2 linked regions of the Struthio camelus genome follow. The protein of the gene in region 1 binds, or shares a complex with, the protein of each later gene. Links are inferred from orthologs where the notes say so. Each region holds a gene or a part of one and is shown in the gene's direction. Other genes may lie near its edges.

Region 1 (3,744 bases):
TTCTAAGGGAGAACGTCTGATTTTGGTAGTAATCAGTACTTTCATTAATGAGTAGGATGCCGGAATACCTAGTACGCCTATTAAATTTGCAGAGGGCTGCCAGCGGGGAGAGGTAACAACATTTTGGGACAGGACTGAATTTTGGAAGGTTCTCGACCGACTGAAGGAATGGTTTGAAATCAGAATAAAGCGCAGAACGTAGTAGGACACGTGCAGTACAGAAACGTTGTCACAGCTTGCAGTGGGGTTAGTCACGGGCGGTTGCTTGATTTCCCCTGAAGAACAGAGACGAAAGCCTGGTATCATGAAGAAAACGGGAGTCGCACAAGTGCTTTTTGGCTGTCACCAGGGTTTTGGAAACGGGGAGCGCGCTCCAGCCTCAGCGGGGCCCTCCTGAGCCACGCAAGGCCTAGCGCAGGGCCCGGGGCGCTGTGCTGCCAGGTGCCAGGCAGGCGTCGCCGGGGCGGGAAGGAGTTTCAGGCCGCCGTGTGACGGGGGGAGCGGGCCGCCCCCCAGCGCCGCCGCCGCCCGCGGCCGCTTCCCGCCCGAGCGCCCTGAGGGCGGCGAGGGGCGGCGGGGGGGGGGGAGGGGGGGGCGGGGCGGCGGGCGGGTAACGGTCCCCAGGGGCGCGGCGGGGGAGGCGGGGCCTGCGCTTGGGGGCGGGGCTCGAGGGCGGAGCGCTCCCTTCTCCTCTTCCCCCCCTCCCTCGCCTGTTTGCTAATGGGCGGGTCCGGGAATCCCCGCTGCCCGCCTCTGTCGTTCGGGGCGAGTCCATTGCGTTCCGTACGGGGGGGGAGCCGCGGGCCCGGAGGCTGGCTTCTGGTGCGGTTCGGAAAGCGGGGCAAGAGCGGAGATAGCGTCCGTGGAAGAGGAGCGGGCCTAGTCCTGCAACAGCCGGGGTGGCTGATCGGGCGGGGGGAGCCGCTTTGTCCCGGCGGCTCTCCCCTCCCCCCTCGGCCCCCCCTGCGTCCCGGCGGGGGATGGTGTGTCCCGCAGCGCGCGCCTTGCTCGCGCGGTTCGGCGGCTCGGCGGGGGGAGGGGACGGGAGACCCGGGCCCCGGCGGCTCTGCACAGTGCGCGCGGGGGATATTGGGGAGGGGGCGAAGGGGGGGGCGCGCGTGACGGCGGCCTCGGCCGGGACCATGTCGGCGGACGAGGAGGAGCTGAAAGTCCCCGAGGAGATGTTCAAAGATGTCAAGTTCTTCGCGGTGGGAGACATCGACCCCAAGGTACCGGGTCACCCTCTCCTCAACTCCGTTCCCCCCCCCCCGGGGGGGGCAGCATGGGCTCCTCCTGCTCCTCTTCTCTCCCCCCCCCCCCCCCCCCAGCACTTCACCGCGCGGGCTCGAGGCTCGCGCGCCGCCGCCGCACGCGCCGCGCTCCCCCGCGGGAGGGGCGGGGGCCGAGCGCGCGCGCGCGCCCTCCCTCCCTCCCTCCCAGCGCCCCCCCACCCCCGCCCCCGCCCCCGCCGCGGGGGAGCCATAACGGCCAGTAACGGCCGTGCCCGCGGCCAGCCGCGCCGCGACCCGCCATGGGAGCCAGCGGCCCCGGCGCGCAGGCCCCGTAGCCGCCTGAGCGGAGGAGGGGCGGGCGAAGGGACTTCCTGTTGGAGACGGGGCCGCTCCTCGGCCCCGGGCCTGGCCCGCCCGTGGAGCCGTGCGGCCCTCGGCGGACCCGACCGCAGCGCCGGGCGGGGGGCGGCAGGCAGCCTCTCGCCGTGCCGGCCCCGGCTGGGCCCCGCGCCCCTGGCTGTGGCCGGTGCAGGACGGGGGCAGTGACAGGCCGGCCCGGCGCCTGGGTGGCGGGGGGAGGCTCGGCAAACGAAGGCTTCGCTGTCACTTCCCTCCCCGCTCGCCCGTGCCTGCCCGCTCGGTCTCCGCCCTCCTCCTTGTGTCCCAGGAGCACAGTGCAGGACCCCCGTGGCTCCGCTGCCTGTCCCCGGATCTCTCAGGCCCATTGGACGGACAGAGATCCTGATGTGGTCACGACATGATCTTCCCTGCCTCGTGCTCCCCTAAGCTGCTGTCAGATGACCTTCCAGCCCTAGCACCTAGGGCAGTAGCCTGGATGTCAGGGCTGGCCTGTGGTAACATCCAGTTCTGCTGGATGGAAGTGCCAACAAAGTTTCCTCGGCATGTCCAATTAGACAAGTGTTTGAAGTGTGCCATATCTAGCTTTAGGACAGCAACTTCATGCTAACAGATTCCTGTGCATTTGATACTGAAATTTAAGTCTTGACTCTTTTGGTAGTTGCTGTAGTCTACCATTTGTTCAGTATCAGATTCCTTTCATCTCATGTTTTTTTCCACTTATGGGTGTTTAAACAAACTCGGGACATAGACATTGACCTATTTAAATGTTTTTTTGTGTTTTCACGTTAATAGGATTATATGTTAAATAAAGACTGGTAATGTAGTTGAAGAGTAGAAAAAACCCACAGCCTTTAGACATTAGCTATTTGAAAATGTATGAGAGCTTGAATAACACTATACATTTTTAAGAAGGTATAGCAGCAGTATTATTATATGTACAAAGATGAGTGCAGAAAACAACAGGACTCTCTTCTATATCATATGTATGGTGTCCCAAAAGGCATGTAGTTAGTTTTGTGTTGACGTAGCAAGACAATCAGCAGTATTCCCATAGAGCCAGTAAGCAATCATTCTCTTTTGCTAGTTTTTTTTTCTTAAGATAAATTTTATCTTGCTTAGCAGTTAACTTCGTTGTTGTCAAGCCTTAATGTGTTCTAAATTAGGTACACTCAGTTCTCATGTATTAGTGGATGACATTTCTGTGTTGTAGATAGACAGCTAAGGTGGCTCTGGCAGACTGTGTAAGCTTAGGCATAGCGCTACACCATAGTGGCTACCGCTGCTTCAGGTCATGCTGGAAGACTTTTAACCACTTTCTTTCTGTGTATGATGGCCAAATTGAAAAGTCCGATGGGTCTGAGTTGTTTCTGTAAACAGCCTGCTGGTCAGTTTGCACTCTTTCCTCCTGAGCTCTGGATGCTGAAATGGCTTAGTGCTTTGGCATAGGGTTAAATGGATGTCAGGACTTCTCAGCACTGGTGCCTGAGCTCATGAGCCCTCAGGAACATCAGGCACTGGGGAGTGCAGGTTGTGGTTCTGTGAGAGTCCTGTCTGGATTTGATTCAGCACCATCACAACCAAAGCTAATCAGAAGTGGGTTTTACTGAACTTGGGCAAGTTCCACTTAGGAACTTTTCACTGCTTCTCACAAGTACCCTCTGTGGTACCCTAGGGAAAAAATGAACAAGCAGGCTATTTACGTGTTGTGTTTTTAACCAGGACAGAAAGGAGAAAATCTAAATTAAATTCTACACATTTAAAAAAAATAGTTTCTATACTGAAATATTTATCCATTAGTATTATAAGAATACAGATATTTTCAAAATTATTTGCTTATTTATATACAAGTGGATACTAGCTTACTTTCAAAAAGAAGCTTCCTATTTCATCTTTTTCATCTTTATGCTTATCTTTTGGGGATGAGCATACTCTGATCAGCTTAAGTTTCCAAATGTTTTCATTGAAGGCTAGACATCCGAATCAATATTAAAACAGGCCTAGCAAAAATGAGGATTTTAATGAAACTAATCCAATAACAAGAACAAAATATAATCCATTCCGGTGAATAGCTACGTACCTACTACCTATTTAAAATATTTGCAGCATGAACTAGAAGGGAAACAAAAGTTTGGAATTGTGCCTAGATATTCTT
Region 2 (2,969 bases), on another chromosome or scaffold:
TGACTCTTAAGACACCCTCCTCGCCCCGCCTCGATTTTTCCAGCGGCTGGCTTGGACCCACCTCCAGTAGGTAACTGGCCGACCCTGGTCCCTGTAGTATCTGATCCTGGATACCTGGCTCTGAAGCATATTGCTTGCTGGCTAGTGCGACTTGATGTCCGCTAGCAATTACACAATCTGACATAGCCACTCACCTACAACCTGCACATACTCCAGTCCCCCCCAGTTGCTGGTACCACAGACTCATGGGCCTCTTTGGACGGTGGTCCAACTCCAGGTGCTGGCACTTAGACCTCCATGCATACACGTGCACACAGAATAGAGCGTCCCTTCACCGCAAAAAAAGCGAGAAATGCTTTACTAAGAGGACAGGACAGACCACGGTCTACCAAACCTACCAACCAGCAACATACGTACGCACAGCATTCCCCACTTCCTACCTTGTATTTTCTCGTGCTCCTATCTCCCAATCCCCTGTAACGCCTCCCTTCCCGGATCTTCCGCTAAACAACTCGTAATAAGTCTCACGCATTCCCACAATCCCCTGAAAGGATCACACAGTAAGCTTTGCACGTTCCCCCAATGGTCTTTCATGGTACCCCACTGTGAGCCCCATACCCCTGCAGGCAGGGACCCTCAGTCTGCGGGCATCTTGGGAGCGCCCAGCTCACCCCGGAGGTGCCCCTGCCAGAGGGGGCCCAGGCCCTGAGGCCAACCACCTCCCTGGAGGGTCCCAGGAGCAGCCTAGCTAGGGCAGCACCATGCTGATGGGGTCACTGGGGTCCCCCACCTGTTGTCGTTCCTCTAGCCCTTTGGGGTACTGTGACTAGCCCTTACATAACCTAGCAGGCAACACAGTTAAAGCTTGTTATCTGGCACTGATCTAGAACTGTTACCTGCAGGCAACGTGCCACAGTCAGAGCTGACCAAAATAAACCTGATGTTTCTCCTCTCAGGGGTACTGTCACTCGTGTGTAAATGCTTTTGCTGCCTCAGGGCTGTCCAGAGGCGCAAGCGGCTCTCTGCGATACAGTCGGCGCGGCCGAGGAGCTCTCGCGGCAGGAGCTGCCCCCCGCCGGGGGAAACGGCAGCCCCGCGGCAGACAGCGAGAGCCGCACCGCCGGGCCGGGGCCGCCGCCGCCGCCGCCGCCGCCGCGCCGCTCCGCTCCCTACCACAGCGCGCCGCACCCCTCCCCCAGCGGCGCGCCCCAACCGCCCCGCACGGTATGAATTTGGCGCCCTGCCTCCTTATTGGCCTGTCGCAGTCGCCAATGGACTCGAGGCGAGCGCGGTCAGATGGCAAAACCGACCAGTCAGCACAAAGGTTCTTCCAGGCGACGCACCAACGGCGAGGCGCGGCGACGCTGTCCAATGAGCTTGGCCCTCCTTTGCCAGAGGCTATAAAGAGGCTGGGTGAGGGGCCCGCCGCCCCGTTTCGCGACGCAGCTGCTGCGCGGAGGGTGCGAGGCGACAGCGTAGCGAGGCGCCATGTCTGGCCGTGGCAAGAGCGGCGGTAAGGCCCGGGCTAAGGCCAAGTCTCGCTCGTCGCGGGCCGGGCTGCAGTTCCCCGTGGGGCGCGTGCACCGGCTGCTGCGGCGCGGGCACTACGCGGAGCGGGTGGGGGCCGGCGCGCCCGTGTACCTGGCGGCCGTGCTGGAGTACCTGACGGCCGAGATCCTGGAGCTGGCGGGCAACGCGGCCCGCGACAACAAGAAGACGCGCATCATCCCCCGCCACCTGCAGCTGGCGGTGCGCAACGACGAGGAGCTCAACAAGCTGCTGGGCGGCGTCACCATCGCGCAGGGCGGCGTGCTGCCCAACATCCAGGCCGTGCTGCTGCCCAAGAAGACGGGCGGCGGCGGCGCGGGCCCCGCCAAGGCCGGCAAGAAGGGCGGCGGGCAGCAGTCGCAGGAGTACTAGGGCGGGCGGCCGAGCCCCACCGACACCACACAAAGGCCCTTTTCAGGGCCACCCACATTGCTCAGCGAGAGAGCTGCGATCCGCGGGGGGGGGGGGGGGGGGGGGGAAGGGGCGCCACCGCGGCCCGCCGCCGCGCCCGGAGGCGGCGCCATGGTCCGCGCCGCGCCGCCCTTCCGGCCGCCGGGGGGCTTCCTGCGCTCGCCCCACGTACTTCCTCCGCCTGCAGCCGCGGGGGGCGGGCCTGGGTGCCCCGGCCTCCACGCGGGGGGCTGGGGGGGGGGGGGGAGAGCCAGGCTGGCTGGGGGCCCCGGCAATAACGGAGTGAAACTCCTACACTGAAACTCCTACGCCACCCCGCTCCACTGCGATCAAAAGTACTGTAAATACAAGCGCTGCTCCCCAAAGTCCTTTGGGTCCTTTAAGTTAACTGTATTTATTGGCTGTTACGTTCAGTGGACGCTGCCTCGAGAATAAACAATGCTTCATTTCCAAAACGATACCCCAGTAAGATGCCATGTCCGTGTTCCTACAAGGCACTGTAACGCAGGAGCTCTGGAGAGAGAGTCTGCAAATGGAACTGGACATGTCAACTCTGAACTGTAGTACAAGGAAAGAGCCAACAGTTATAGAAAAAGGCATAAACAACCCCTGTTTTTCCCTCTTCAAGTTTAGCTCAAAGTTGATTAGCTATCGTATACCAATGACTGTCTCAGATTATAACTATCCAGGGATAAACGAGCCACCCACTTACTTCCCATCATAATTAATTACTGGCTGATGGCAAATTTAGGTCTGATACTTCAAACTTAATTCTTTACCTGAGACCTATGATGAACATAGTGTCCCTGGAACTTTACTATGAAGATCCCCTGTATTAGGAGCCTTATTCAGCTCCCTCGTGGCAGTCTTTCTGATGAGTGAACAGGCCCAAATAGTATTCAAAGGATTATGCAAGTTCTATAACTACTGAACGTACATTATTTTCTTTAGTGCTGTCACAGCTTAGTCTTTGATTATAATCTGTATTCAGTTCCTTATTCCTAAATGCT

The links.
Region 2: the proteins of PAXIP1 (region 1) and H2AX are in contact, whole or in part, in a crystal structure (PDB 3SQD), measured with the Homo sapiens proteins. The link is inferred for Struthio camelus from reciprocal best matches to the Homo sapiens genes PAXIP1 and H2AX. Residues at the interface, in NP_031375.3 of Homo sapiens: Phe871, Thr872, Gly873, Phe874, Pro876, Lys907, Thr909, Arg910, Thr911, Val912, Lys913, Pro986, Glu1050, Leu1053; in NP_002096.1 of Homo sapiens: Gln138, Ser140, Gln141, Glu142, Tyr143.

Annotation. Positions count from the first base shown.
Region 1 is NC_090943.1:9,730,153-9,733,896, reverse strand, and holds the start of PAXIP1 (PAX-interacting protein 1), read left to right. Parts: upstream 1-1,015; 5' UTR 1,016-1,142; coding exon 1,143-1,229; intron 1,230-3,744.
Region 2 is NC_090963.1:93,971-96,939, forward strand, and holds H2AX (histone H2AX), read left to right. Parts: upstream 1-1,373; 5' UTR 1,374-1,488; coding exon 1,489-1,920; 3' UTR 1,921-2,417; downstream 2,418-2,969. UniProt on the Homo sapiens protein: Variant histone H2A which replaces conventional H2A in a subset of nucleosomes. Nucleosomes wrap and compact DNA into chromatin, limiting DNA accessibility to the cellular machineries which require DNA as a template.